5 linked regions of the Tribolium castaneum genome follow. The protein of the gene in region 1 purifies or fractionates together with the protein of each later gene. This does not show direct contact. Links are inferred from orthologs where the notes say so. Each region holds a gene or a part of one and is shown in the gene's direction. Other genes may lie near its edges.

Region 1 (6,315 bases):
CGACTCCTCGCTCAGCTGCCGGAACGTCTCTCTGAAAGTCATCCAGCTCTGCAGCACCGTCCATTAGACTTATTTTGTTGATTTATGGATTGTTCATAGTTACAGTGTTATTATTACTATTACTAATGAGAACGTATAGGAAATCAGTTTTCGCTAATTTGCATTCCTTATATTGTTTCTGTTAAGTTTTGATTTAAACTCAATAAAAAATTCAATGCAGTGCTTTATTTAATTACAGACTGATTCCGTGCCCAAAAGGATATTTTTAGACAATTTATTTTTTCTTTGCTTGGGTGTCGGAACTGCATCAGCGATACTATTTTCGTCGGTTACAGATTTATTACAAACTTCGTTGTTATTACTAGCATCAAGGTCGTCACATGATCCTGTTATGTACAAGGAAACTCTTCCAGTGTAAGTTGGGGAGTCGTTCAAATCGTCACGAGATCCAGCGATGTAAAGTGACTTCTTCTCGCAATAATTCACTTCTACTTCATCTTCTTTTTCCTCAATCAAATTACTCGTAATATCCTTAACGACTAAGTCTGAACCGCCTCCCTCCGAAATGACCGACAAATGGTCACTTTCTTCCAGTTCTTCATTGGGACAAGATATCACTAGGTCTGGAATGTTACTGTTTGACTCCGCTTTCTCTTTGGCAACCACATTGTTATTACTATCGTCTTTTAGCGCTTCCATATTTTTGTTAAAATCTTTGAACTCGTTTATCATTGCGTCTGGTTTGGTTTCGTTATCAGTCGAGAAGGAGCAGTCGGTGTCAGCAGAAGTCAGACTCCAGTGCGAACCATCGGAGGAAGCCTCCAAATTGCTAACCTAATTAGTAACAATTAATACTTGTACAGTTGACAAGACAGGCATTATTACATTTTGACTGGACGCCGATTTGGGGGGCAGAGGCGCCCGCTTTTTGCCCCTTCGCTTCGTTGTGCCAACATTTTGTCTTTTCTCTTCTTCTTCAAACGGATTTGAGCCTGGGGTGCTTATCCGCTCCCGAAATCTTGACCGGGGAAGCGCCTCCTGTTGGGGGCTTGGGTACGACAACGGCGACCTCTTGAACGTCTCTTAAATAAATTTTTAATCATTTCCGGGTGACACCCAACGGAAGTTGGCCAGGTCATGGTCACAGTTCACTTACCGCTCTTTTGCCGGAGTGTCACCTCGTCGTTGTCCTTCTTTTTGATCCGAAAGGACTGCCGCCTGCAACGATTTCATTAAATCGCCGATATTTATAATAATGATGTCAGCAAAGTCATAATAGATTACTCATCTAGGTGGGTAAATAAATTAAATCGTTTTTCGATTGTTCACGAACTTAGTTATTAATTTGTGGCCACTTTCGTTTAGAAAATGCGCGCTTCGATTACAATTGCTAATTTATTGTGGCAACAAAATTCGGTAAACACTTTCTTTTATGTGAACGGATGTCATACGATTTAATAAAACTAATCAGGGCCGGACAATGCATTGTTAAGCCTTGCGGACGATTCTGTGTTGAATAGTAATTAAAATTAATGTCTCCTTTATTGTAAATTGGGCTGGATTTAGTGCCGGACCCGAGTTGCATATTTTTATCGGACTCCTAATTAGAGTAATCAATTAATAAATAAACAAATCGCTTTTTACATGTGCGTCACATAAATTGGGCAATTATTCGGTAAAATTTAGACTAGAGATGGATTTTCATGAGTGTAGTGACAGCGAGCAGTAAAATTATTTATTGTTTTGGGTGCATTGACCATTTGCTGGTAACTTCATTTCGCAACAACCCTAGCACATGTATTTAATAAAAATGCGAATAAGTTGTCATTGTTTCTCTTAGAATTCGGGTCAGAGCTGTTAAAAAATTCGCACTTGGCTATTCAAGACGGCAAATAAAAGATAAAGAGTTAAATATTTTGAAGGTAAGTAATTAATAATCCCTTGACTAGTTATCACTTATCGGTGTTATCACAACGCAAACATTACACACGCCTATTTTCGGCGTGATTCGGATTTTTCCAATTCGTTTAATTGAAATTTCGAAAATGCGCCAGGGCGGTACTCACAAATTTCTTTTAAGTTCTTTGAAAGAGTCCCGAATTGTCAGTTTGGGTCTGGGCTTCTCGTCCGCAAAAGGGTTCAAATGTTCAGGGTAATTATCGGTCATTTTTTGATGCACAACACGGCTGCACACTAAAGAAACTGCTCTGAATGTGTGCTAGCCCCCACTATCGCATGTATCTACGGTAAATTACTTAGTGACGTCACTTAAGTGTTTCCATTATTTCCACGCAAAATAATCGCTCGAACTGCGACAAGTGGCGCGAAATTGTGCCAAAAGTGGCAATTTTCGAATCAGATATTGATTGAGTCGCGACTTGTTGTTCTATTTGGGGACGACCTCGGGAAATAATCAATACCGTGCTTGCTTTACCAGAAAATCAATTTGTGAAAAGTGACGAAATCAAAAAAGAAAAAACACGCAGCGAATTGAAATTTTATGTAAATTGGGCTGCACTTAGCGAAATTGGACAATTGTAACATGATGCACCGCAATAAATTTTCATTAAGTTAATACGCACTTAAATAAGACTTTATTTCCGCGGAGGAACGGAAATACGCATCTTGGCTTCAAATTTAGCGCCGTGTGGCTGGTTTGAAGTTCGCCCAAACATGGCGTTGGCTGTGTTGTTGTCGTAATGTAAACGTCAAATGTCAGAGTTGAAACAAAAATATTTTTAATTTATTTATTTGAATCAGAATGCAGTAACGAATTGGTTTAATTAATCACATTTGATTTGGAGTATCGCCAGTATGAGTTTTTGAGACGGAAAGTGCTTAGTTTTTTAGTTAGGAAATGGCACCGCCCCCTGTTGTAACAGGGCTGAGCCCTAACGAGGGGCTTCCAGGGACTAGGATTACAATACGAGGGGAGAATTTCGGGTCAAAACCCACAGATTTGATAGGTGGGTCACTTACAGAAGTAGTAGAAAAAAATAACCTAACTTTTAGGTTTGTCAATTTGCGGCTTTGATTGTCTTTTGTCGGCCGAGTGGAAATCCCCCAATAAAATAATCGCGATTTCGGGGCCCGTGAAGGGCAAAGGTGATGTGATAGTGACGACAAGACTGGGGGGTGTAGGCACTTGTAACGTCACATTTAAAGGTACAGTTACGCTTTGAAAGCCCCTTTCTATTAATGATTCAAGGGTACCACGAGACCATCGGTCCAATGAAAGAGAGTGCGGTTTGGGTAGAAGAAACCACCCCCTTGTTTGTATGGGGGCGCCACTCCTTGTCCCCCAGTAGTTACCAACAGGAGGACCCGTTAGGTCTCTCCGTTGAAGGCAATGACAAAAAATTCCCCGAAGATGATTTAATGACATACTTTCCCGATAAATCGGGCGACATTGCCTCTGGAAATTTTTCACCAGGGTGGTTCCTTCTGGAAAATCATCACGCAACGTCGTTCAATGATCTACAGGCCGGGTAATTACAATTATTTTGCGCACAATTACCTCCCAGTTAGGTTGAATTTTTTGAGGCGCAAGGTGGAAGGGCAGAAGGAGGGCCAATTGTCGTTTTTGAAGGCAAATATTGGCTCGGTTATGGACCAAATTGACACTCTTGTCAATTTAAAGGAGAAAATTGAGGCCGATGTCGCCAAATTCGGGACCGAGCCAACGCTCAAGCTCGAAAAATCAATAAAAGGTTCGATTTTTGCGCAAATTTTACTCGGCCACATGTTTAAATGTGGAAAAAATATTTTTTTGTTCAAAAATTTCAGGCCCTTTATTCCAAAAAAATTACTGTTCAAGAATTTTTATATTAATTTAGACTTCATCTCGGTGCAGCAAAATTTTACAAAATCATTTGCTCCTTGTCTAAAAAATTTTTGAACCAAATTTTTGGCCCAATTAACGAAAACACTCACACCTACACGTAAATATACAGGGTGTTCCAAGTTTTTCTTAAAAATTCTTTGTTTATTTGAAACAATTCTCTTTTAAGCAGTTCAACCTTAAATTATTTTTTTTAATTATAACTTTGGCTGAGTAAATTACCTGTTTTTTAGAATCTGAAAGGGAAGGTAGGAAATTGTTTGACGACGTGCTAGCGCGGCGAGACCGAGCCGAAAAGACTCGAAACGCGCTAAACGTGTTAGCCCGGTTTAGGTTCTTGTTTTGCCTCCCGTGTGTAATAGATAGGAACATAAAGAAAGGTGAATACGATATCGTAATCAACGATTACATACGAGTCAAAAATTTATTCAACAAAACTGATGTGCCTGTAAGTGTTCTTCAACTTAATCGACTGTGGCTAATCGAAGTTTAAGATATTTAAGTCTGCACTTAATGAAGTGGACAAACGAATAGCCGACCTTAAAAAGAAGCTCCTTACCGACTTACAAACAATGCCAATAACTGTAGAGCAACAGAAACGCTTAATTAGATACTTAGTGAATTTAGACTGTACCGAGGACCCAGCTTGGCGGGCCATCGAGAGCCGCTCAGCTTACATCAACAAAAACATAAAGCAGATTTATGGCGAGCACAATGTCGAGAAACCCGATCCGAGATCGAAGTCAAACTCGACGTCGAAATACTCGAAATACAACCCTCCGCCTCAGAACGACTTAAACACAGTTCCGGCAAACGTGAATTTTATTGACGAAATTTGCCTCAGTATTTCGGAAACGTTCCCAGACTTGTGGAAAATCGGCCAGGCTTATTTCTCGGGTGAATTGCGAGTCAAAATCGAACCCGGACGCCACGTCGAATTTAAAGTAACTCTCCACTTGGCAAAAATCGTTTCTATTTCTAGTTTTTAGCACATTGTTATGACAATAATGGAGAGTTTTTGCAAATCAATCCGGTCGTCTTTGATCCCCAACACTCTCGATAAGGCCGATAAAAGCGCGCTCGGGTCTTGGACAATCCCCGAACTTGAGGAGGTGGCGCCGTTCTTGCCCGAAATTTTACGATGTGTGCGCTCGACTTACATCGCTTTAATTAAGTTAGATTTGCCGAGTGAGGCTCTGGATATTGTCTCGTCGCTTTTACTCGACTTGCGGATACACTGTATGAGTACTTTATTCAAGCAAGCGGCCGAACAAATCAAGCAGTTGAACGAGAACTGGAAAATTGATTTTAGTGGGAACCACGTTGGGATAACCGAACTGGTAGGTAGCCAGTCTGGTCAGTCAAATCAAAATGTTGAGCATAAGCTTGTATTTTTTTTATACAAAAAACGAGAAATAAAGTGTTTTTTAAAGATTATTCTAAATCGGGATGAGCTAGAAAAAACGGTTTCAAATAAAAAATAATTGTAATTTTCCCGTTTATGAGCAATGAAACTTCTACTGAAACACTGGTATTTCTTCCAAGGCGGTAAAAATCACTGTATAAACGCTGAAAATGTTTATTCTGGTATAAAACGACTAGTGTTTTACAAAAATCAAGAAATGTTCTTGTTCTTGTTTTGGTATTGTAAGTTAATAATTATGAAACAAAGTTATGATACAAAAAACTCATTGACTAATTGTTTTTAAATGCTTCACTGTAACTTATCATAATACAATGTGTTCAAAAATGGTTGTTCATCAGATCATTTTTGCCTTTTTCGGCAAAATTGTTCTAACTGTAGATTTTGTCTTGATTTGTGTTTTGTATTTCCGTGATTTTTGTTGTGTTAAGCGGCACATTACGCTTAAATTTCATAGGTGACTTGACTTGAACAACCATTTCGGAACAGTGTGTAAAAGTATGATCTCAATATTTTGATTTGATTGGCGAGTTTCGCGTCATGTGCCTCTTCCAGCCAATCAAATTCGAGCGCATCATCCAAGACGTGATCCAAATCGTTAAGGAATCGGTTTTATCGACGGAGCAGCGCGAAACACCTCTCTTGGAAAATCCGACTGCGCATAAAGAGTTGGATAAACAGATCGAAGCAGTTTTAGTGTCGTTTCACAACGTTTTGAACAATTTATCGTCGGATGAGAGTTGTGATGACGATGAGGATACGTCACCTGTCGTCTCGCAACTAATCGGAACTCCGATCAATGGCTATAGAACGAATTATACCAATAATAATATGCCGATTTGGGAGCACCGTCTTTTAATAACACTCTCGAATTGCCTCTATGCCAAAAACGTGGTCTTTGACACCATTTTACGGAAGTTCAAGGAGAGTGGTTTCCCGGCACCGGAAACGCCAGTCAAAAACGCCAAAGATAAGTTGGATGTGCTCGAAAAAACGATCCTTGAGAAGTATTTGGAACAGAAAAGTGATCCTTTAGTTGGCACAATCGAAC
Region 2 (6,026 bases), on another chromosome or scaffold:
TAAAAATTGACCGATTTTAAGGGGGGGTGTTAACTTTTTTTTTATTTTTTTTAATTTCTCATTTACGGCTAAACTATTCCAAAAAATGGAACTGTTTTAATCCATACCCCTGCAAAATGATCCGGGGAATCGATTGGCATCAAAAAAATTGCCAAATTCCCAATAGTTTTTTAGTTATAAATTTTTTAAAATTTTACCAATTTTTGCATTTATCAGCAATTTCCTCGAAAACTATTAGTCGGAGAACAATAATCTTTTTTGAAAAAAATAGATAATTTAAAGAGCTTTCCAACGATAATACACTTCATGGGGTTATCTCTAATAGTTCCGGAGCTATTGCTCGAGAAATGTTCCGGGTACCCAAAACCGACAAAAACTGCGACGAAAATTGAAAAAATCAAACATCAAAAAATTGAACATATGGACTTTTTGTGGACTTTTAACAGCTTTTGTGGGTTGTTAAGACATGTAGAAGTCCATAAAAATTTTCAGGAGTTAGTTAAAAAAAAATTTTGTTTCACCTCTTTGAAGGTGAGTCTTGTATTACTCAGGAAATTTGAGCAAAAAAATTGAAAATTTTAAATTGCGTGAAAAACTGATATAATATGTAAAATGAGCCGCTGAATCCAATGGACCAAACCGCACTGCTCTACGACTTTTAGTTTTCGAGTTATGAATTTTTTTATTGAAAAAAATTTTTCACTATGACAAATGGCTACCCTAAATTTAGGCAAAAAATTTTAAATTTTTAATTCTTGTGAAAAATTGATATAATATGTAAAATGAGCCGTAGAATTCAATGGAATAAACCGCACTGCTCTACGACTTTTAGTTTTTTTTTTTATGAATTTTTTTAATGAAAAAAATTTTTCAATATGACAAATGGATACCCTAAATTTAGGCAAAAAATTTTAAATTTTTTATTCTTGTGAAAAATTGATATAATATGTAAAATGAGCCGTAGAATTCAATGGAACCAACCGCAATGCTCTACGACTTTTAGTTTTTTTTTTATGAATTTTTTTAGTGAAAAACTTTGATCGCTTCTGTAGCCGGAACCGTTGCCCGGAGCGGCTCCGGGTTTGGTCGAAAAAATAGACAAAATTAAGCGCTATCAGATGGTTTTTTGTTTGTTGCTCTAAGTCTTACAGTTTCTGAGAAAAACGCAAAAAAAGGTTTCCATTTTCACTTTTTTTCAATTTTCAACCGCCAATTGTGACGAAACTATTAGAGTTATCGAGAAACGGAAAAATGGAGGACAACCGGAATAAAAAACTCTAGAAAATGGCATCGGACTCAAGGCGATATCTCGCAAAAAAATTTTCAATTTTCAAACGCCGATTACGGCCAAACTAAAAGAGCTAGAGAAAAACGGTTTGTTCCATCGTAAAGAGCACATCAAAATCTATAAGATAGAATAGGTTTCATTTGATTTTGAGACACTTTAAAAATTGACCGATTTTAAGGGGGGGGTGTTAACTTTTTTTTAATTTTTTTAATTTTTTTATTTACGGCTAAACTATTGTAAAAAGTGGAACTGTTTTGATCCATACCTATGCAAAATGATCCGGGGAATCGATTGGCATCGAGAAAATTGCCAAATTCCCAATAGTGGTTTAGTTATGAATTTTTTAAAATTTTACCAATTTTTGCATTTATCAGCAATTTCCTCGAAAACTATTAGTCGGAGAACAATAATCTTTTTTGAAAAAAATAAATAATATAAAGAGCTTTCCAACGATAATACACTTCATGGGGTTATCTCTAATAGTTCCGGAGCTATTGCTCGAGAAATGTTCCGGGTACCCAAAACCGACAAAAACTGCGACGAAAATTGAAAAACTCAAACATCAAAAAATTGAACATATGGACTTTTTGTGGACTTTTAACAACTTTTGTGGGTTGTTAAGACATGTAGAAGTCCATAAAAATCTCATGAAAAGTTGGTATAATATAGAAAATGAGCAGCTGAATCCAATGGAACAAACCGCTACGGCTAACCGTTCGAAAGATATCGTCAAAAATATAGTCTCGTTACAAAAATGTCTCAACTAAACTTATGTTATTATCTTTATTTTTTTCACCCCCTTTATATTCCGCAATTTTCTTTATTTCTGTAGGATCATAACGAACGATAATTTTCCTGGTGTGAACTTGGCTGTAGAAAACGAAAATGGTAGAAGGGGAAATGGTACTAGCTCCATGCGCGCAGCAGTTGTCTGGTCGACTGTAAGTTTTGGTGCGATCCTAACCGACATTGACGAGAACGCTGTCAATTGAGTGTAAAGTCAACTGTCTCACCCAAACGTCAAACTGACAGTTTAGGTTAGGTCAAAACACCCCCAAAAATGACCACAACAAAGTCAAATATGCGCGAATTGGAGGCGGCGGCCAAAGACTCGGCCCGGGCGCACGTGGTGAACATGTTCCAACGTCCAGGCCAGTTGGAAAAAGTCGACCACTTGAAGCGCCGCCTCACCCGCAAGAAAAACTCCGTGGAGGCGCTCCTCAAGTCCGCGATGCAGCAACAACTCGACGGAGTCCGCGTCGGACTCAACCAACTGCACTGTTGTCTCGAAGACGTCCGCGAGATCGACTCAAGCATCAAAAAAATGTTCACTCTCTTCAACGAAGTCCCCGACTTGTGCGCCAAGCTGAGCCAAGTCCGGGACGAAAACATGCGGCATTCGCAGTACGTGACCGCGCGCGAGAACTTGAAGCACATCTTCACGGTCCCCGAAAGTGTGGAGAAGACCAAACAGTGGATTAACGAAGGGAAATTGCTCCACACCCATCAGTGTCTGAGGGATTTGGAAATGTCCCGCGATGATTTACTGTACGAGTTGCATAAGTTGCCAAACCAGTCACCGCATGATAAATCCATGCTTAAAGCGTACTTTGCCGACGTTGAGACTTTGTCCAATTTATTGGAGAAACAGTTGAGGCTGATTTTGTCGCGTACGCTCAACACGGTGCGGAAGGAACCTACTGTGATTGTCACAGCTCTCCGGATAATTGAACGGGAGGAGAAAACCGACCAAGAGGCACTTAAACAGGAAAAACAGACCGGGTTCTTGCCCCCAGGGCGGCCCAAAAAATGGAAACAAATGGCGTTCGAAGTGTTGGAAAAGTCAGTCGCTACTAGAATTGAAGGCACGCAAGTCGACGAACGCGATGACAACAAACACTGGCTCATTCGTTACTTGGAATTGACGCGGCAGCTCATTTTGGAGGACTTGCGAGTTGTTAAAACACTGTGTGTCCCGTGTTTCCCGCCCAGGTACGGGATCATCGACAAGTACATACAGATGTACCACCACTGCCTGTCCCGCCACTTACAAGAAGTGATTCAGAACGGAATCGAAGGCAACGAATACGTGACCATCCTCTCATGGGTCAGTAAAACCTACCAAGGGGTTGAGCTACTGGGCCACCCGGACTTGGTCGAATACACCAAACACCTGGAGCCTTTGCTCCCCCAGCCCGTGATGGAGACCCTCGAGGCCGAGTATTTGCGCAACATTGAGACAAACTACGGGGAATGGATGCGAAACACCCTAAACTCAGAGGAGAAAGAGTGGCGCTCGAACATCGAACCCAACTCGGAGAACTACACCCGCACGGCAGCCCCCATTATCATCTTCCAAATGATCGACCAGAACTTACAAGTCTGCAAGACGATAAGCGACGAAATGACGTGCAAAGTCCTCATCTTGAGCATAGAGCAAGTCATCAATTTCGGGGACATGTACCGGAGAGCAATCGTCGAGTTCAAAAACAAATACTTCGAGGACCGCAAGCAAGTCCCGTACTTCACCCAGTACATGATCATGATCGTCAACAACTGCCTCCAACTGGCCGATTTGGGGTCACAGTTGGAGAAGCAGTACTGGGCCCCCACGTCGCCGCCAACTCTCGGCGATCATTTCAACCGCTTGCGGACGACTTTCATCCAGTTGCGCAACGACTCCGGCGATTTCTTACTCGAGGAGTTGTTCCTGGACTTGGACAAACACTTTGACGAATTGTTCACCCCGCGCTGGCTGGGGACTTCGCACCCCGTCGACACGATTTGTGCGACTCTCGACGACTACTTCCAAGACTACAATCGCCTCAGCGAACCCAACTACAAGTTTATTGTGCACCAGGCCCGCGCTTTGGTCTCCAAACGCTACTTAACCGCGCTATTGTCCAAAAAAGGCACTTTTAAGACGTATGAAGAGAGCGTGCAAGCCAGCGGAAAGATCGTCAAGGAGGCCAATCAGTTGGGAAAGTTACTAGACACACTGTGCAGTTTAGAAGGCGATGACCCGTTTGAGAGCGTTATTTTGTTAACGGAAGTATTGAAGAGCGACGATGATATGCTATCCTTTGAGCTACATCGGATTGTTGAAAAGTATCCCGATATCACCGAAGATCATTTATTGCGACTGTTGAGTCTGAGGGGTGACCTTGCCAGGTCGGACATCCGCGATAAAGTCGCGCATTTGCCCAAAGTTAAGGCCACGCACCAGAGCAGCGTGTTCCGGACGCTGGTGTTCCCCAAACTTGTTAATCTCAACGTATTCAACAATTAAATCTATAAGATAGAATAGGTTTCATTTGATTTTGAGACACTTTAAAAATTGACTGATTTTAAGGGGGGGTTAACTTTTTTTTTTCTCATTTACGGCTAAACTATTCCAAAAAGTGGAACTGTTTTGATCCATACCAATGCAAAACGATCCGGGGAATCGATTGGCATCGAGAGAATTGCCAAATTCCCAATAGTTTTTTAGTTATGAATTTTTTAAAATTTTACTAATTTTTGCATTTATCAGCAATTTGCTCGAAAACTATTAGTCGGAGAACAATAATCTTTTTTGAAAAAAATAGATAATTCAAAGAGCTTTCCAACGATAATACACTTCATGGGGTTATCTCTGATAGTTCCGGAGCTATTGCTCGACAAATGTTCCGGGTACCCAAAATCGACAAAAACTGCGACGAAAATTGAAAAAATCAAACATCAAAAAATTGAACATATGGACTTTTGTGGACTTTTAACAACTTTAGTGGGTTGTTAAGACATATAGAAGTCCGTAAAAATTTGCTGGAGTGCGTTTAAAAAAAAATTTTTTTTTCATCTCTTTGAAGGTACTAAGTGTATTTATTACTCAGAAATTTGAGCAAAAAAATTGAAAATTTTAAATCTCATGAAAAGTTGGTATAATAGAGAAAATGAGCCGTAGAATTCAATGGAACAAACCGCAATGCTCTACGACTTTTAGTTTTTATTTTATGAATTTTTTTAATTGCAAAACTTTGATCGCCTCTGTAGCCGGAACCATTGCCCGGAGCGGCTCCGGGTTTGGTTGAAAAAATAGATAAAATTAAGCGCTATCAGATGGTTTTTTGTTCGTTGCTCTAAGTCTTACAGTTTCCGAGAAAAACGCAAAAAAAGGTTTCCATTTTCACTTTTTTTCAATTTTCAACCGCCAATTGTGGCGAAACTATTAGAGTTATCGAGAAACGAAAAAATGGAGGACAACCGGAATAAAAAACTCTACAAAATGACATAGGACTCAAGGCGATATCTCACAAAAAAAATTTCAATTTTCAAACGCCGATTACGGCCAAACTAAAAGAGCTAGAAAAAAACGGTTTGTTCCATTGTAAAGAGCACATCAAAATCTATAAGATAGAATAGGTTTCATTTGATTTTGAGACACTTTAAAAATTGACCGATTTTAAGGGGGGGGGGTGTTAACTTTTTTTTTATTTTCTCATTTACGGCTAAACTATTTCAAAAAATGGAACTGTTTTGATCCATACCCATGCAAAATGATCCGGGGAATCGATTGGCATCGAAAAAATTGCCAAATTCCCAATAGTTTTTTAGTTATGAATTTTTTAAAATTTTACCAATTTTTGTATTTATCAGCAATTTCCTCGAAAACTATTAGTCGGAGAACAATAATCTTTTTTGAAAAAAATAGATAATTTAAAGAGCTTTCCAACGATAATACACTTCATAGGGTTATCTC
Region 3 (6,356 bases), on another chromosome or scaffold:
CCATCGATGCACAACCAATGGGACCTCAAAGACACCTCAAGTGGTGCTTTGGCGTTCAAATTTTGCAACAAATCGTTCAAAACCACCTCCTTCTCCTCAATAAAATGAAGCTCACGTCCGCCGCCTGATGCAAAACGGAACGGGAGGCCTTCGGCCGATTGGAAACCGTACTGGGGCTGTAAGACACAATGAGGTTAAATAACCAAAAAGCCCACATACCTCCAAGTTTTTGGCTTTGAGGGCTGCGTCAATGTCGCTCTGCATCAGTTTTGTTCGTTTGGCATGGTGGACGAACTTCGCAGCGTCTTGAATGATGTGTTTCAGTTTAAATGAGATGTCTTCAGCTAGTTCCTTTGCAGCGTCGTCGGGCAAATTTCCAATTCCGATGCTTTCGGCTATTACCTTCATAGATTCGACGGATAAATTCGTTCCGTATAAGTCATTTTCAGCGTTTTTGGACATTTTTCAAGGCAAAAAGGGGGCCAAAAATTGGCATATGCGCTTGTTTTGTTTACCAGTGGTGCCAACTCGAGTGGCACGCACGACGAAAACACCAACACATGCCGCATAACAACAACATTAAAGAACCAAAGTATTAAAGGATCATGAAGAAGAGTGCACTTAATTGATTTAATCGTGTGGGGGAGAAAAAATCACAACGAACAATTGTTTGTTCGAAAAAAACTGACAACAATCGGACCGAAAGCAGGTTCCTGTAAATTTGACGTCACCACAGATTACCATCCGTTCATGGAATCATGTCACTTGTTCGCACACTTGGGTTCAAAAATAGCACAAATGAGGCGCAATTCTGTGATTATAATAGATTTATTTTCAATAGAACTTATAGAATATAAATATAACATTAATAATATTTAAATTTTACATAATGTAATAAATCATAGCACATTAATTAATTGAGTGTGAATCACATTCCAGCGTTAGTAACTAAACCAGTCGGATTCAAAGCAAAGCGGAAATGTCCCAAATTTTGATTAGCCGGTCCTGTCCGACTGTTACCAATTTTTTGCGAGTCTCGTCCAATCCCATCGCTGTAATACTATGCTTAGCATCATGGAATGTGGCTAAAGACACCCTCCTGTAAAAAACTTTAGCAAGACATAACTTCACCACTTGCAACTCACTCTCTATCCCTTAACAAGTGGTGACAAGGGTCACAGACACGCACTGCGAACTCGAAACCCATCGCTGGAATTGTTAATCTACCTGTGGAACATTTCTCGCAAACTGCTTTCCCGCAATGTCTGCAGTGGTGTTGCCGTAAACCCAACTGTCGCTGGTCCATCATGGCTCGGAAGTTCCAAAAGAACGGTCTTCCACACAACTGACATAAATCGGACTCGATCCACTCGGGAGTCTCCTGACGCGTTTGGTTCATGTCCCAGAAGACCAGCACCCCGTCCTCGCCCGCGCTGACCAATTGTTTGGTCGAGTTAAGGTAGCACAAAGCAGAGACCTGTAATATCACATTCACTTGTTTCCACAATTTTGGTAATTTTTGGCACTGTTGCCAATTTAATTTCAAATGCCGATCGCCAACAAAAAACAAACCTTGACCTACGTAACCAATAAACAATTATCTTTGCTTCGGAAAAAATCCAACTGCGGTTGTAATAAACAATGTTTACCTTGTTGTGGTGACCTTGCAGCTCGTAGGCGTTGCCCTGTTGCCCCCCTATGTCCCAAACGATAACAGTTTGGTCGTAGGAGCCACTAAATAACATCTGCCGCTCGCTGTCCCAAGCCAGTGACCTAACAGAGCCCGAGTGCCCCTTCAAAGTTGTGATAACACTAGGGCCCGCATTATCCAATTTTAACATAGTTATTTGACCAGAATAATCCCCAACAAACGCATGTTTGGTTTGTGCATCAAATCTGCAAAAATTAAAGACATGACTCGAAAATTTTCCGCAAAAAATTAGTACTGTAGAGAGGTGCACCAGGCCTCAGCCGTGTAAGTCCCAATGTTGCGGCCGGTTTGTGTGCAATTGTACGAAAACACTTTATCCCTGCTCACGCTCAGAACCCATTCGCAGTTGATGGCAAAAATAATTTCGGTGACTCTTGCCTGATGTGCTAGGTACTCCCGCACTGGCATCATTCGGTTGAAGTCTGATGCCAGCGAGAATTCTGACACGGTCCCGTTTTCCTGTCCTATGAAAAGTTGCCGGGTTTCAACTGTGTAAAAGACCGAAGTGGCCCCACTGGGCATGTACTGGCAAATGCTGGGCCAGTACTGGCCTGAGTCTCGCTTCAACCAAACACGTACCGTTCTAAATCACAAAAATGAGGCGTAAAGACCGGGTTTGGGAGCGACTTACTTGTCATCTGACACACTTATAACCCCATCTTCGCCCGGGATCAAAACGGCGGCGTTTATTTCGTCGCTACAACCTTCCAGTTTTGCCAAAAGGGCGGGCTTTTTCGTTGTGCAGAATTTGTCGTTTGCTTGGGTTGCTGGCTTGATTTCCGCTGCCATTATTAATTAATTTGATTGTAATTATAACACTGTTTTTAGGTTTGACACTTTTGATTTGACAGTTTTACGACGCAGTTGCCGATAACAAGCGTCCCTAACCAACGATAATGTGCAAAGAACCGCAAATGACAATCACACAAACAAGTTACAAACGATAACCCACACGTACATGTCGACCACTTGCGTGGCTCACTCTAATGTTCGCTCACAACGCCAGATCTATTGACAAATTACTTGTCAAACCATTGAGGTTATAGGAAATGGCACCGCCTCCCTTTTTGTGTTAGAAAAAACTTTATTATCAAATAAATAATTATTTTTTACACCATGGAGCCCACAAAAGAACCGACTTTAAGTTTATTTAGCTCGAAGGAGTTTGATGCGGGAAAATGTAACATAATTAATAAGACGTAATCACTTGGTGATAATTAGGTTCTTTTAGATGTTAGGGAATTGTCTCAAAGTTGTGTGGGGGGCCCCGAATTGCGACGCCTCCGTAAAAGAATTCAGTCACTGTCTGAGGACACCAACAACAATTTGAAGCAAAATGTGTACCGCAATTACACCCAGTTTATTGACACTGCTAAAGAAATATCTCGTATTTTTTTAATTTTTACTTAGTTATAAGTCTGACTGTTTTTTGTAGACTTGGAGAGTGAAATGTATCAATTGTCACACCTTTTATCTGAACAAAAATCCTTATTAGGTGCCTTATCAACAACTTCGATTTTGGGCGAAGAAACTCCAGTTATCACAGAAATGGAAAATAGGGACAATCCCAAAGACCAAGGTGACGAAAACCGACAGAAATTAGCCTCAATTTTAGAAAAAGTTGAGGGTTGTAAGGTAAAGTGCCATTTTTTGGCGAATTTTTGTTACTATTGGTATGACTGGTTTAGGAATTGTTGGAAGTCCCTGGAAGGACTTATTTACACGAAGGGGATCTTTTAGAAGTTGACCCTCTCGATAATCACATCATCAAAACGGTCCATGCTTATTTATTTACAGACGGCTTTATGACTACTTGCAGAAATAATAATAGCCGGGGTTTAATGAAATATGTTTTTGAGGTAATGTACGAGTTAGGTAGTCTCGCGGTAGTAAATGTGCGGGAAATTGGTAACAACAAACACCAATTCAAACTATTGATTTTTCCCGACACTCGTGTTTTCCAATGCACTTCTGGCTCAAATAAGGTATTGCGAAAATTTAGTTTGCACAAGTTTACAAAAAAAAATCGTAGAAAGAGTGGTTGGATAAGTTCGACCAGGCCAAAAAAGCCCGTCTCACCCAAGACCAACAAAAACGCGAATCAATCGTGGAAAAATCGCCGTCTCGGTCCGCCTCAATCGATTCCCCTAGCCTCAACCGTAAGTCGGCACCACTGTCACTTTTCCCCTATTTACCCCACTATAGCTTTTGAGGAAATTGAGGACGAGGTCGGGACAGTACACCCGGACTGGTTTCTGGAAATCCCCGAAGAGTTAGACGTTTGCGTTGCCCAAAGACACTTTGAGGACGCTCTAACTTTCCTCCAAAAATCGAAAGACTACATCACGCAATTTGTTGCCACTAGTGGCCAACCGGACCACGTGATCCTCGACATCCAATTAAAAGTCGAGCAAAGGCGTAACCACTTAACCGAAGTTCTGATGAAAGAACTGGAAGTTAATCCAGACAAGTCACAACAAGGGGGCTTGCGGGCCGCCCGCCGGGCCGTGAGACTCCTCAACCAGTTGGGGCGCTCCACAGCCGCGTGTAATTTATTCCTGAAGTTGTGCAGCAACATGCTCAAAACGCAGTGTAAACGAGTGAAGCGTGAATGCTCCACGGTCATGTACGTGAGGCATTTGTCGAGTGTCGTTTTTACGAATATGTGTCACATGACTGAGGAGTTCCTCAGGGCTTTTCCCAGCTCGTCCAGCTGTTCGTCAGGTTTGTACAAAAATATTAAAACGGTGTTTTTGATAATATTTAGCGGAATTAATTAATAAAAAAATTTTTCAAAGCATACGTGGTGTGGGCCAGTAACGAGCTGTCCGTATTCACGACTCATTTCATAAAACAGGTGTTTATGCCGCAAACTTCGCTCTCTACTTTAACAGAATGTGTGGTTTTGGCCCGCTCACAGTGCGAACGAGTAATTTACCATTTCTCTCTTTGTAAAAAAATGAAATTGGTGGTTGTAGTTGTGTTCTTTTGGCGTTGATTTGTGTTACCAGCTAGATGGCGCTTTGCGCACTTCCCTAATGCAGGCCTTGAAGGACGCCCGTGACAAGTCGATAGAAGTCGCAAAACTTCGGGCTCTTGAAGATAAATGGATTCCTATGAATCTTCGAACAAAGACAGCTTTGGCCCGATTTTTGCAGGAATATTCCGATTTGGGGCTCAAAGTGGACAGTTACGTCACTGGCGATACGTGGATCCAACTTACAAACAATACGCTTGTTTTTACCAAACTGTTTTTAATTCTTTTGAATGATTGTTTACGACTTGAAACAACCGAACTGCTTTATACGATAAACGACGTTCTTTATGACGTTTTTGAGGCGCAAGTGCGACACATTGAAGCCTCCTTGCGTAATGAAAATCAATTAGAGGTAGCGTAAAAAACCGGTGCAATATCTTTATCAGAATTAATGTTTGTAGCAAAGGAAATTCATTACGAAAAATGCCGAATTTCTCCTGACTACTGTTCAAGACTTAAGCCAGAAAAAATACAAAGAAGCGATCGGTTTCGAATGCGCTTCACTACAAAAACTTCAAAAGGAATACTCAGCACTGACTAAAGGAGTCTCACCAACGAGTAGGAACACAAAAACAAAGTATTCATCAGAGTTTTTATAATGTGGTAAATGTTACAATAAATATTGCCTAATAAATACAATTAACTATTCAGATGGTGTTTCATGGCTGGTTTTAAGGCGCTTTTTGGCCCTGATGTCGGCCATTGTTTGCTCAATTGACCTGACGTCCTTTTTATTTTCGCTAGGCACTAAACAAGCAAAAATTAATCACTTGATTAGAATAAACTTTCTGATAAATGAATTAGTGAATTATTGGTTGAATTTAAATCGATTTAAGTACTATATTTTTTTGGGTTGATATTTTAACTTACCAAAGCCATAGCTCTTATTAGTCTCGGTTTTCTTGGCCGCCTCTAGGGCGGCTTCCTGTCCAATCAAATGCGCGTATTTGTCCCTATAATTAGAGTGTGGTGTGAACTTTTCCGGCTTTCTTTTAGTAGCTGCAACTTCTTCAATCTTCTCCATTTTTCTCTAAAACCCAAATTAGGAACAACCTAATTACGGTTCAAACGTACTTTTTCGATCAACTGCTGCCTGATTTGTTCATTCCAGGGGTCCCCTCGCCTCCTTGCCGCCAACTCGTCCTCACAAGGAGCATTTTCTTTCCTGTACACCCTGACATACCTATCCACCCCATCATTACCAAAAGCGTACGACAATAACCCCGCACTTTCGGCAGCTTCGTGGCTAAAAAACTGTGTAAATTCTCATAATACGAAAAAATAACCACACAAATACACAATGCTCCGATAAATTTGGTCCATTGGCTCAAATTTCAGCATCGTATTGTTGGGGTCTTTAAAGTGCGACGCTAATTTCGACTCGACTCGCTCTTTAAACCGTTTTAGACGCTCCTTTTCCGCTGTTTGTCGTTTTTCGATTTCCTCTTTTCTCTCTGAAATTTGGGGTGATGAAGGTTATTGAGGTTAAATCACTTACTTTTAACCAATTGGCGTTCTTTTTCGCTCAAACTTGGAGGTTTCTCCATAGAGTTCATAATGGAACCCAATAGATCCATCGTGGGTGTTTAAAGCCCTTGGTTTTTCGAA
Region 4 (5,569 bases), on another chromosome or scaffold:
TAGAAATAGGTAAGGTTGGCAACTTTTTTGACATTTCTCCTGTCAGAAATGCTTCTCGATGTCGTCGCATGGCGTCGCCGCGCTCGCTCATTATTCCGCGGTCATAAAGCGGCCACCTTTGGAATTTATTCGCCATCGTCGCGATTAAATTAAATTGACTAATCAGCGCGTTCCGACTGTCTCTTTTTTCCTTCACTCGTCTTCGTCTCGGTGTTTTTATTTTTTATTCCTCTACAACCGAAACCAGTTCCTGAATACCGCAGAAGCGGCAGCAACAGGAGCAGCAGCAGCAGCACCAGCACACATCCATCGGTGCAATAATTTTCGCAATGAGCTTATCTCGCAGATAGCGAGAGTGAGTTTCAGGTAGGTAGTGGGCCCCTGATGAAGGTGCACCACCCGCGTTCGGCCTTGAAATCGACCGTCGTCGCAATGCAAAGAATTCGCCGAGTTCATCGAGCAGGCCGCGATAAAAACAAAAGTGACATAACGAAAGTCAATCGACGCGTAAATGAGACGTCACCCCCAGGCGTACCACACACGCCGTACCAAAATTCCCAGCATCCCCCAATAACAATAGACGATCGGGGGAGAAATACGGCTCTTTCACTGTTGTGACTACTTTGTCGGTGTGAAACGGCCGGATTTGGACGAGTTATTTATTGCTTGTCACACTAACGAGGAATTTGAAAAATGTCATTAGTGTGGGCGGGCGCTTTTACATCGGCGAATTTATTTATGAAAAACACAATAGAATCAAAAACCCCGACGTTTCAATGCTAGCTTAATGCGAAATAAAAAACTCACCACGTTCACGAAATCTTGGAATGTAATCGCCGGTGTTGTGGCACTCCTGGCCTTTTCTAACAGGATCTCGCGTTTTCCAGTGCCGACGCGATGACGAAACTCCGGGTCCGACATTGCTGAAATCAAGTCGCCCCAGGGGATTTCCCCGAAACCCTCCGGGTCGTACTGCCAACACGCGGCGTTAAAAGTCACCAACTTGTTACAGAGTATGGAAATTGCTTCTTTAAATACAAAGCACAACAATTTTTTTTTGCTATCTTTTATATTAAATTATATCTAGATTAACTTTATTTAAATTTATTAAATATTTAATAAATAATTTTAATATTAAATGCTAAATATTTAAATTTTATTAAAACATATTTTTTTAACTTAACTCAAAAACTCAAAGGAATTTCGAAAAAAAAATAAAAAAATGATCACAATTTCAAAGCACTTAATGATGTGCTTACTATTTTTAAGACTAAGGATCGGTTTATAAACGTCATTAATTTAATCCGCAATTAAATGCGTGATTAACTGATCACGTGACCAAATTGAGCCAATTTGATTGGTGTATCGGCTAAATTTAGGGAAATCTCATGAAAATCCCTTTAAAATAACTTGATTTATCTAGAAACGCAGTAAAAAACATATCTTTTTATTCAAAATAAGAAAGTTAATACCGACTTCCGGTATAACCGGAAGTGCCGCCATGTTGAAAATATCGCGGCTTTACACAATTTGCAGATACTTATAATTATTAGAACATTCAGTACTTTTAATATGCCGTTTAAGCGAAACAGCCTGTATATTGTGGCGTTTATTTAAAAAGTTTTTCTTTTTAGGTTTACTTGATTTTCAAAATTTTGATTTTTCAAAGATTTTGGCGGTTTTGAATATTTTTTTTTCTGAGATTTGACATGATGGCCAGTTTTTGATAAAATTACATAAAAGACACGTAATAGACATCAAAAAAATAAGAAAACATGTTCACTTGTGATATTAAAAGATGCTAAAAGCGAAAAAAGCACTTTCCATACTCATCAGAAACAGTTATTTGTTGGATTTTTTGATCATCCGTGTGTACCTTGTCGAAAAACTGGCGCCATTGCTGTAATAAAAAGTATATATTTTGTGTTTTTTGCATTTTTGGGCGCTCACGTCTCGTAAAAGTGTTCGTTTGAGTTCGGCCTCGTCCGATTCGCTCGCCAGATCCGTGTGATCCGTGTCGTAATGATCCGGAAACGAGGCCAAAGATCCGGTGATTGTCGCTATGTGTCCGGGTTCGATTCCGGATTCCGATGATTGGGCATGAGTAAGATTTGTTGGCAGGATTTGGGTGGTAGAGGGCGACACTCGATGAGGCCACGCCGAGTGCGACAGCATAATACCGGTAACTGCATGGACCGGTTTGCGTCTCGGCTAACTAAAATTTGCAATTTATGCCAAAAAATTGTCTTTGCATATTGTTTTTTATTTTACTACTGTTATTGTTGTTGTTACAGCTGTGAATGATCCTTGTCGCCGATTAAGTGGTACGAAAACTGAAAAAATGGACGAATTTTCCTCACAGCACCATTCACAATCGGAAAAACTCAACGAAAAGGTTTTCCTCGCACTAAAAAACCATACACCTGTCTCAAAAAAACTGAAAAAAAACAAAAACACGCCACACGTTCTGCACTCCGGCAATTTCCACTTTTCCCCAACGTCAACTCGAAATTCCCCTATCGTGAAAATTCATCCCCTCTCGAGAAAATCGTAAGGTTTCATTGATTTTAAATCTAGTCGGCCGGGGGAAGATTGGGGTGGTTTTGGCCGAAGTTAGGGTGAAACATTTGACGGGCGACAAGCGTGAATCACAGAGGGTGCGTGTCTAGACCAAATAATCAGAAATTCCGTTTCTTTTCATTAAATTTAAGGGAGAATTAGATTTTTTCGAATCGTTTAGGGATTTGTTGTTTGTCAAGTTTGACAATGTTTTTCTTTTAAATAATCATCTTGCTTTCGCAGTAATTATACATTACTTTATGTTTTCCACCCAAATGCGCGAAGGACGTTAAAAACGTATAGAAAATTTCGAAAGTAGCACTTTATTTAGAGTACAAATATTTAAGGGTTAGGATATGAAAAGATGTAGAAAATAAAACGTTCCCGTCCTATGTTTTCAGACCAATGAATTTGAAAAAAAAATTGTATACCGTTTAACACATAGCAAAGAAAAAAATATAGGCACATAGAATATTAAATTCTCCATAGTAGGACATAAACATAATACAAAAATTTTATCGTAAACTATATTTAAAAAAACTTGTACCAATTTGCACTCTACCCCATATTTTTCAAAACGCTGTGAATAGAGTTACAGATGCAAGAAAAATGTTAAAAAGAAAGTTGTAGAAAATTAAATTTTTTACAAAAAAGTCCGGGACACCATGTTTTTATGAAGATAAAAACATGAAGATAAACTGTTGAAGAACAGTTTAGGTATAAATTACGTTTCCGTTACTTGAGCGTTTTTGAACGTTTTTAGAACCTAAACTGTTGACGATAGAGATATGGCGTCACGAATTTTTTATATTAAATTTATTTCTCTACAAATTTCTTCAAAATTATTTCCTTGTATCTTTAACTATATTCGCAAAGTCTTGAAAAATACGGGACGAAACGCAAATTGTAAAATTTTAATAATTTTTTTTCTCGTATTTTTTTATGAAAATTTTAGACCATTAAGAGTACAAAGCTCAATATTTTCGCGTTTTTTTTCAAGTAATAGTGAATTCGTTGGGTTTAAATAAATTTGGCGCCGAAACAATATAACGTTTGAAGCGCCCTCATTTTTACTCCACCGGACTATTTTTTTGGGTTCAGATAATTTTGAGATTTCGTATTTTCTTTCGTCTCCTAACTTATAGTCCTCCGTAGCATTCTCTAGTTTAGGGATTTGCCAATTGTCAAGTTTGTTGATTTAGTAACAAAAGACGTCAATAATGTTTTGCTCGTAAAGTCTTCAATTTTGGAAATAATTCTCCAAAATATTGGGATTAAACAAGATGAATATTATCGAGGAACGCACTTATGAGATTACAAGCAAATTGGAGAAAGTCAGTGATTTGGTAATCGTGACATAATCTAACTTATGCCCGTAGGAGAAATCTAACCTATCTTTGCTGACTGAAAGACTGAAAAAAAGCTCTCAAATCACGAAAGGCATTGATACGATTCTCAATTCGTTTGAGGAGCGTCTTTCACGGCTTGAAGACACTATTTTACCGGTCTACAATGATACCGAAAATTTACAAAAATCACAAGTCAGTATCCTTGAAACGCCCCTAGTTTTCGTCTCAAATATCAAATTTAGTTGATTTTCCTTGACTCAAATAACCAGATATCGACCAAACTCTCACATATCTCGACGATGTTATAAGCTATTACAACGTATCAAGTGACGTTGAAAGCACAATTGAGAAAGGACCTGGTGAGAGCGGTATCGATTTAGACGACTACATCCACTCATTAAATCGCCTGGCGAAAGCCCAGAAATATTTCGAAAAACACATCCCCCAAAGCGTGGAACTCGAAAATGTCGTACGTCTAACCCCCATTTTTTAGGTCAACAAAATTTAAAACAGGTTTTTAGACCACTTTATTTCATAAAGGTAGCGACAAACTCAATTCCGAATTTAAAACAATTTTGGACAAATACAACACTCCAATGCTTCCGGTCGTTCTCCTCGATTTGATCAATTACGAGAATTCTGACAACCGCGAAAAGCTCCCACCTGTTCAAATTCCAGACCATACGAAAGCCTATTTGATTAAAATCGCAAATTGGCTACTTGACAACGGCCGAGATGAATATTTAACAGTTTATGGTAAAGTGCGTGGGGCTGTTTTACAGCGGTCTTTGACCATGTTACGCAACCACCAGAAGAGCGTAAGCGGTGGGAGTGTCCATGGTGTTGCCAGTTCACCAATGCTGGTTGGTAACTTGTGCTGGTACTAGGGCTGGGCAAGATAATCGAGTAATCAGTTGATTAATCAAATAATCGGTTAATCGTTATTGACACAAAGTACGTTCAAATATAAAAATTTTATCCGGAATTTTTCGGAACTATTCGGGTTTTTCCGTCGGAAATAAACCTTTACTCAGATGGCGCTACGGATAGTGGCGGCAAATTTGAATTCAATCTAAACCTTGTTCGTTTTTTTTTTCATTTAATAATAAAACAAAATTATAAATATAATTAAACACTAACAGAAAGTACTAAATATAAATATTAGACTACTTACAGATCATTTACAACATAAGTATAGTTTCAGACACAATAAGTTATCTTTTTAGACGTTTCTGCATGATACAATGGAGAATATTAGAATCGAAATACTGGAAATTTTTATTTGTCTGTCCTAACCTTCTTTACTTCCGCTTCTGCTTAAAATTGGTTTCACTAAAGAATTATTGTAAATTAAGAGTGTTAACTTCTTACATTAGAGAGAATTAGATTAAGAATACGTGATAAATACTAAATACTAGATTGGGCTTTGGTTATGCGGTTTTTTCTGTAGTTATAAAGTGTTTTTTGTTGGAATTTGAAAGAGAACTAAAAGTGTAGAAGATTAATTTTTTGATTACAAAATGTTATTAAAACAATTGTATACTTAAAGACTATAAGTAATGGATCATAGCGAGCACATGTTGGGCTCAAAAAAAAAGACAACAAATTAGTGAAGTGTGTGAATTTTAAGTTAGAATTTTTCCACTAAAAAAATCATGTAA
Region 5 (6,342 bases), on another chromosome or scaffold:
TATAAAAATTTACACAAACATAATGTTATTTATAGAAAACAACATCACAAACAATGAGATTACTTATGATTGTTGTTGCAGTTATTTATATGAAATTAATTATATTCTAGATGTGGTTTTTTATAAAAAACACTTTAAAAAGAACTAATTTTGTATAAAGTAAATCAAAACGAAAATAATTGGCAGGATAGTTACTTAATCGTAAAGTTTTGTTTAATGGTAATCTTTATGAGTTTCTGGGATTAATTGGGGTCATCGTTAATAATTCCAAAATATTACCCAATTCATGTGATAACGAAATAGTGTACTTGTATTAATTTTTTGATTTATTTTAAATAAGATATCAAAAATTATTGAAATGAAATGTTTTCCCACAAGTTTTTGAAATCACAGGCTCGCCAATCTGAGACATATGAGAGTTTTTCACTTTTCTACATAAATGTTGGCAGTAACTTTAACCTAGAAGAGCAGAAGGTTATAATTTAGGAAAATAAACACAATAATCATGAAAAAAACGTAATAACAAAGAAAAATAGAAAAATGTCGGATTCGGAAGATGATTACATGTCTGATAAGCTTTTAATGAAATGGTAACCTTGCAAGCATTAAGTAATGTTTGCTTAATTTTCTTTCAAATTTAGTGATGAAGACGTCCGTCCTGGACTAGTTTTCAACCGCACAACGAAACGAAAGTATGAACTAGAGAAAAAAAGGCAGGAGCTTTCGGCCAAGAAGCCCAAAAACAGTAAAGAAAGAGAAGAGGAGCGAAGACAAGAGGGCTTGAACACTGCTATTTCAAATGACAACAAGGGCTTTAAATTGTTGGAGAAAATGGGTTTCAAGCAAGGACAAGGTTTGGGAAAATCGCAGTCTGGCATAACAGAGCCCATTAAAATAGAACTAAGGAGTGGCAAGTCAGGGGTTGGGTTAGAAAGCCATTTTAAGGAAAAAGTTACCAGGAAGAAGGTTCACAAAGAGGAGACTCTTGCAAAGAAAATGGACGCGTTTCATACAAGTATTAAAAATAAACAAGCCCAGAAGTTGCTCTGTAAGGATTTTGTTAAAGCGCAGAGAGCTTGTGAAGATTTGGATTTAAGAAAGGTGAACACGTTGCTAACGAGTCAAGTGTGTTATTTACTTGTTTTAGAACACTGATGAGCCAATTCAGGAGTTTTATTGGACGAGGGAAACAATTAAGAAGAAGAGAGGTGTTCAAGACGATGAGGAAGAAGAGGAACAGTTTAATGAAGAATTTGATTCCTACTTTACTGATGAAAATTTAAGCGAACTAATTCATTATCTAAGAAACACGCATTTATATTGCATGTTTTGTGCATTTGTCGCAACTGACGAAAATGACTTAAGTACAAGTTGTCCAGGTCCTAACAGAAGCGATCACGATGACGATTAAATAAATTGTGATTTTTAATTTATGTTTTATTTATTTAGCAAATAATAAATTACACAATATTACAACCTAGTTTTTACACTTTACACTTAATAAAAAATTAATTGTTATGCTCATGAAGGGTAAAATTTGCAACATAAAAGTATGAGTGTGAATTACTTTCTATGTCCAAATGTCTTCAGATCTACCAAACTTGAATATGAGTGACGCGATAAAAATAAACACGTTCTGCAAAAATATAGCGACTCCCGGCCAATAGTGAGGCACCTCTGTAAAAAAACTCAATTAAAGTTTGCAATTTTTTACAAAAACTCTTACTCTTGTTGACGAAATCAGCAAATAATATTCCACAAGAGGCAATCACAGATGCAAAACCCATTACAAAACCGACAAAAAGCCACACTTTGGCGCCTCGGGGGCCCAAACAGCCCCCCTCATAAGCGTCGCCCCTCATTTGGGCGTTTGAAACGGAATTGATCATTATCAAAGACACGGCCCCCACGACCCCACACATGTGGTATCCTGCTAGGACAGTCCCTGGGTATACACTTGCGGCATCGATTATTATCCACCAGCCTACGAAAAACTAAAATTTGGATGAATCATGTCCAGTTGTAGAGCACAAAAAAGCTCACCAAAAACCCCGAGATCATTGAAGCGTACGCATTTCGCCTATCACCCCCTTCGAACCAAATACACGGCGGAATATTTATATTTTCAAAACAGTCAGCTATACCCATTTTTTCCCGATTTAATGGCCTTAAATGTAAACAAAAACGATATTTTTTTGGTGATTATGAACTAATGACTTGGGGATTTTATTGTGCGTTTGACGTTTCGAGGGCTTGGTGACACTGGACGTCAGCTGATTAAAAGTTATTTTTTAATTATTTTTAATTAATAAGTCGAAACCACCCAGAAAAAAAATCGTGTGTGATAACGCGCACCCAAAATATACCAGAAATTGTCATAAATTGTAGTTTTAACACCAATAACAAAGGTCTACTTTGTTGTAACCTAAGATTGGTTGGACGTCAAACTGACAGGTGTCAAGTCAAGCCAAAAATAAATAAATTCATGTTTATATCTCCTCCAGTTTAAAGGAAAAAATTTCGCGTCAAAATGATGCAACAATATATGAAAGAACTGGAGCAGGTATTTAACTCCACTTGTAAGTCTTTGCATAAACGCCCCCTAATCTTTAGGAACCGTTTGATGCTGAAGAATTTGTTGAAAGATTAGCTTGGCGCACAATAGCTGAAACAAAAAATGACGGTGATGAGGACTTTAATCCAACATTGCTGCATGACTCGTTTGTTCAAGCTATTAAGTAAGAATTAGGCTTGTGTAAGTCCCATAACTGGGTTCGTTTTTGTAGAGACTTAACTTTGCTCCAAGAAAGGCAAAAAAAGAAATGTGAAAGGCTCGAAGCCGCCGTACGCGAAGACGAAGCATTGTTTTTTCAAAAAATCCACGATTTATTGGGGCAAAATAAAGTAGGTTTTAAATTGTGTTTGCAAAATACAATCCTCAATTTTAGCAAGCCATTGATACGTTTCAAGAGCTAGACGGAAAAATTAACCATGTGGCGACAAAAGTCCTACACTTGGGTGACCAGTTAGATAGTGTTAACGGACCTAGGGCAAGAGTTGTTGATGCAAAAAATCTAATGACACATTTGAATGAATTCTTACAAACTGGCCCTCTCACTTCAGAAATCTTCACCGACTCGTCAAAAGTATTTTTAATTTTTAAATCAACATTTGTTCAACATTTCTTGCAGATTGATGAAGCGGCAGAAGTGATACAAAAGTTGTATTTAATTTCACAAGACCTGCCCTCACCAAAGTAAAAATTTAGATCAATAATTGTAACAACAAACAATATCATGTTTTAGATTTGAGGGCTTAAAGCGCAAAATTGAAAGAAAGTACGATGAGACAGAGCGGACTTTAATTGAAGAATTCTCAAATGCGCAAAGGAGGGACGATTTCAAAAGAATGAAAGAAATCGCTAATGTTTTATCACAATTTAAAGGCTACCCCCAGTGCGTTGATGCTTACATTGAACGGAGTCAAGCTGTAAATATTATCATATTATCATTCCTCTTGTGGAAACAATTTTTTTAGGGTTGCTTGTTGAGTAAAGATGTATTTTCGCGTTTGTTTCCCTTATGTGAACTAAACTACGATGTTATTAAGAAAGTATTTAATAACCCGGAACAAGTATTGGCAAAATTTGTCCTAAATTTGTATCATTTGAAACTGCAAGAGTACATCGCGTCAAAACTATCCTCGAAATTAGATAGTTACAATTATTTAAAAACTTTGTACGAGTTATATGACAGGTAATTACACTCTGAATGATCCACCAGACTCACTTTTTATTTTAGAACCAATCAGTTATCGCAAGATTTATCCGTTTTTAACATGGGGAGCGACAAAAACTATTTAAATAAGCTAACAAGTAACATTTTCAATAAATACATCGATAATTACATAGCGTGAGTTTCCGTACTGGTTTGTTCCAATTGTTTTAATTAATCATAATGCAGATTAGAACTAAAGTGTCTCAAAGAACGCAGTTCTGCCAATTTGCAACGTTACTACGAATCAAAAAACCACCAAAAGAAACAGATCCAATCTGGCGGGTATTTTTATTATTTCGTGTTTTTCCCTTTGTCTAAATTTGTACAGGTTCCAAGACTTGAGACGCGACATCCAGGCCGTAATTGGGACAAGGGCCAACATTAACATAGCCCAGATTGAAAATTATGGTGGCGAAACATTCCTGTCTGAGGAATTAGCAATTACAATTTTGCAAGACACGAAACAAGCGTTCCAGCGTTGTCAGCTGGTACATAATTTGTGTAACTGAATGAAAAACAATCTGTTTTATTTTTTAGCTTTCAAAGCCTGAAGACAAGGCGTCCAATGCCAGTCAAATTTTAGACCGTTTGCTCAATTCTTTGCTAATTGAACACGTAGATTATGCGCTGGAGTTGGGGCTTCAGGCGATTCCTGTGGTAGAAGGGTCCAAGAATCCTCCAACTTTGTATTTCTTCACAGTGGTGCACCAGAGCAACAATATAACGCACTTGCTTGAGAAACAAATCACTGATTTAGCGGTGCCTCTCATTATGTAATTTCTTACAAAATTGTATAACGTATCTCAGATTTGTTTTTAGAAATACGCCAAAATACAGCGATTGCATGCAAAAGAAAAAGTTTATTTTGGAGGATATTGAACGGAAAGTTAACACCGGACTGGACAGGTGACACCCAAAAGTAATGATTTACTTTTTTAATTATTTTTCTAGAACTTTGAATGCTGTGGGAAGTTGGGTAAAAGTCTACCTGCAATCAGAGCAGAAAAAAACCGATTTTAAACCAGAAACTGACGACTTCGATACGGTCGCTTCTCCGGTAAATCACTTCCACGTTCTGCATAAAATAATTCCGATTTGTAGGCGTGCAAAGCAGTTTCCCAATACATAAGTAATGTAATTAAGGAGATCAAAGACAATTTGGACGGTAACAACGTTACTGCCATTTTGCAAGAGCTGGGAATTCGATTACATCGCGTTATTTACGATCATTTATTGCAGTTTCAGTTCAACACCGCGGGTAAATCAATTAAAAATGGTTTTGTGTTGGCTAATTACGATTTTTAAGGTGCAATGGTCGCAATTTGTGATTTAAATGAGTACCGATCATGTACTAAACATTTAGGTCCGCTTGTGGCCGAGTTGTTCGAAACTTTGCATGCGCTGTGCAATTTATTATTAGTGAAGCCAGAAAATTTGCAACAAGTGTGTTCAGAGGATTCTCTGGTGAATCTCGACCGCTCGGTTTTGCACAACTTTATCCAGCTTCGGAGCGATTTCAAGACACAAAAACAAAATTTTCTCAAAGTGTAATAAGGAATTATTTGTTAAATGATTAAATAATAAAGGCATATATTTACTATTTTCTGTATCATGTTTGGACCTACGTTTTAAGCGCACGCTTAGAATTCTTTAGCATTTTTAATTATTATTTTCTTTGAACGAATTTCGTTTCAAACTTCCATTTCGCAAATTTTTCAATTAAAAAAAAAAGATTTATGTCACTAAAATTTTAAACAAATAAGTATAAAACATCAAGGTAAGTGTTTCAAAATATTCCCTACTCTGCGAAAGCTGCAAAAAAATGTAGAGAATTTTCTATATTTTTTCTAAGTCAGAGACAGCATAGCAACTTGAACGGCTCTACTGAACCACCAAAAGATAAAACTAGTTATGTAACGACTTTCATTTGAGATCTAAGCCGTAATTAGTTCTCCGTAACGCAAAGGCATGACTTTGCTTTTAGGGAAGTATGAATGAAAATCCGTGAAATTAAATGATTTGTTTTTATTATTACCGTTTACAGTTGAAATTGCAATTACTTAATTCATAATAGGGGTATTCAAACTAATCACTGAGGGTCGTTTTTACAGACATTATTCTGTGTTTAATCCTACAAGTCGTTCCACATTTTTAACTACCAAGACTCAATGAAATATGTACATTTCCATTAAGACTTCAAAAATTGGACACTCACAATTGAAACTTATGATAATGTTTAGGAGATTCTTAATTATGACGCTGCTGCCAGCAACCAAATAAAGGGAAAAGCAAATTTGTTAAGAAAAATCGTGGCGACATAAAAAAGTAAACCTAAGACTAGCGTCAAAATCGGGGCCTGTTTGAAGTCATGAGATTTCGGGAAGTTAAAGTAAGCACTTGTAGTAAAAAAGAAAATAAATTAGCGCATGCGGTATCTGTTATTTTCGTGGACTTCGCCTAATTCTCCTTTGAAGTTAAGTTCGATAACAAAGTCCAGATCCCTGTTGTTCCTCGGGTTAGGCTTCATGGTGAATGTTCCGTTGATTTCCTCTCCCTTCTTGACCGT

Evidence for each region.
Region 2: the proteins of Sec5 (region 1) and Sec6 purify together in Homo sapiens (affinity purification with mass spectrometry; 6 studies listed by BioGRID and IntAct, counting the BioPlex papers as one, with this or other methods). This does not show direct contact. The link is inferred for Tribolium castaneum from reciprocal best matches to the Homo sapiens genes EXOC2 and EXOC3.
Region 3: the proteins of Sec5 (region 1) and Exo84 purify together in Homo sapiens (affinity purification with mass spectrometry; 7 studies listed by BioGRID and IntAct, counting the BioPlex papers as one, with this or other methods). This does not show direct contact. The link is inferred for Tribolium castaneum from reciprocal best matches to the Homo sapiens genes EXOC2 and EXOC8.
Region 4: the proteins of Sec5 (region 1) and Exo70 fractionate together in Homo sapiens (co-fractionation; 4 studies listed by BioGRID, with this or other methods). This does not show direct contact. The link is inferred for Tribolium castaneum from reciprocal best matches to the Homo sapiens genes EXOC2 and EXOC7.
Region 5: the proteins of Sec5 (region 1) and Sec10 fractionate together in Homo sapiens (co-fractionation; 4 studies listed by BioGRID and IntAct, with this or other methods). This does not show direct contact. The link is inferred for Tribolium castaneum from reciprocal best matches to the Homo sapiens genes EXOC2 and EXOC5.

Annotation. Positions count from the first base shown.
Region 1 is NC_087403.1:225,253-231,567, reverse strand, and holds the start of Sec5 (exocyst complex component 2), read left to right. Parts: upstream 1-2,686; 5' UTR 2,687-2,857; coding exon 2,858-2,966; intron 2,967-3,012; coding exon 3,013-3,165; intron 3,166-3,208; coding exon 3,209-3,488; intron 3,489-3,528; coding exon 3,529-3,710; intron 3,711-4,074; coding exon 4,075-4,289; intron 4,290-4,335; coding exon 4,336-4,785; intron 4,786-4,830; coding exon 4,831-5,181; intron 5,182-5,819; coding exon 5,820-6,315. Other genes in the region: uncharacterized protein LOC654960, read right to left, coding at 229-834, 886-1,082, 1,157-1,218, 2,067-2,167. UniProt on the Homo sapiens protein: Component of the exocyst complex involved in the docking of exocytic vesicles with fusion sites on the plasma membrane.
Region 2 is NC_087399.1:3,909,294-3,915,319, reverse strand, and holds Sec6 (exocyst complex component 3), read left to right. Parts: upstream 1-2,273; 5' UTR 2,274-2,348; coding exon 2,349-4,577; 3' UTR 4,578-4,614; downstream 4,615-6,026. UniProt on the Homo sapiens protein: Component of the exocyst complex involved in the docking of exocytic vesicles with fusion sites on the plasma membrane.
Region 3 is NC_087398.1:810,429-816,784, reverse strand, and holds Exo84 (exocyst complex component 8), read left to right. Parts: upstream 1-2,730; 5' UTR 2,731-2,827; coding exon 2,828-2,891; intron 2,892-2,942; coding exon 2,943-3,098; intron 3,099-3,146; coding exon 3,147-3,346; intron 3,347-3,399; coding exon 3,400-3,696; intron 3,697-3,743; coding exon 3,744-3,870; intron 3,871-3,916; coding exon 3,917-4,435; intron 4,436-4,509; coding exon 4,510-4,640; intron 4,641-4,689; coding exon 4,690-5,100; intron 5,101-5,149; coding exon 5,150-5,347; 3' UTR 5,348-5,391; downstream 5,392-6,356. Other genes in the region: Taf6 (transcription initiation factor TFIID subunit 6), read right to left, coding at 1-176, 220-462; Wdfy2 (WD repeat and FYVE domain-containing protein 2), read right to left, coding at 964-1,099, 1,146-1,477, 1,650-1,896, 1,947-2,294, 2,343-2,500; sperm-associated antigen 7, read right to left, coding at 5,392-5,495, 5,619-5,778, 5,823-5,994, 6,046-6,202, 6,247-6,325. UniProt on the Homo sapiens protein: Component of the exocyst complex involved in the docking of exocytic vesicles with fusion sites on the plasma membrane.
Region 4 is NC_087399.1:7,151,329-7,156,897, forward strand, and holds part of Exo70 (exocyst complex component 7), read left to right. Parts: intron 1-807; coding exon of another isoform or gene 808-972; intron 973-1,876; coding exon of another isoform or gene 1,877-1,900; intron 1,901-1,950; coding exon of another isoform or gene 1,951-2,175; exon of another isoform or gene 2,176-2,215; intron 2,216-2,271; exon of another isoform or gene 2,272-2,294; 5' UTR 2,295-3,842; coding exon 3,843-3,893; intron 3,894-3,938; coding exon 3,939-4,104; intron 4,105-4,177; coding exon 4,178-4,377; intron 4,378-4,429; coding exon 4,430-4,771; intron 4,772-5,569. Other genes in the region: stet (uncharacterized protein LOC657740), read right to left, coding at 808-972, 1,877-1,900, 1,951-2,175. UniProt on the Homo sapiens protein: Component of the exocyst complex involved in the docking of exocytic vesicles with fusion sites on the plasma membrane.
Region 5 is NC_087396.1:19,820,702-19,827,043, forward strand, and holds Sec10 (exocyst complex component 5), read left to right. Parts: upstream 1-2,331; 5' UTR 2,332-2,530; coding exon 2,531-2,563; intron 2,564-2,613; coding exon 2,614-2,738; intron 2,739-2,786; coding exon 2,787-2,904; intron 2,905-2,948; coding exon 2,949-3,146; intron 3,147-3,191; coding exon 3,192-3,256; intron 3,257-3,305; coding exon 3,306-3,489; intron 3,490-3,537; coding exon 3,538-3,755; intron 3,756-3,800; coding exon 3,801-3,911; intron 3,912-3,962; coding exon 3,963-4,058; intron 4,059-4,104; coding exon 4,105-4,264; intron 4,265-4,313; coding exon 4,314-4,549; intron 4,550-4,595; coding exon 4,596-4,682; intron 4,683-4,727; coding exon 4,728-4,833; intron 4,834-4,877; coding exon 4,878-5,034; intron 5,035-5,082; coding exon 5,083-5,327; 3' UTR 5,328-5,376; downstream 5,377-6,342. Other genes in the region: G patch domain-containing protein 11, read left to right, coding at 541-590, 642-1,101, 1,148-1,411; transmembrane protein 50A, read right to left, coding at 1,571-1,677, 1,727-1,994, 2,044-2,148; Art1 (protein arginine N-methyltransferase 1), read right to left, coding at 6,196-6,342. UniProt on the Homo sapiens protein: Component of the exocyst complex involved in the docking of exocytic vesicles with fusion sites on the plasma membrane.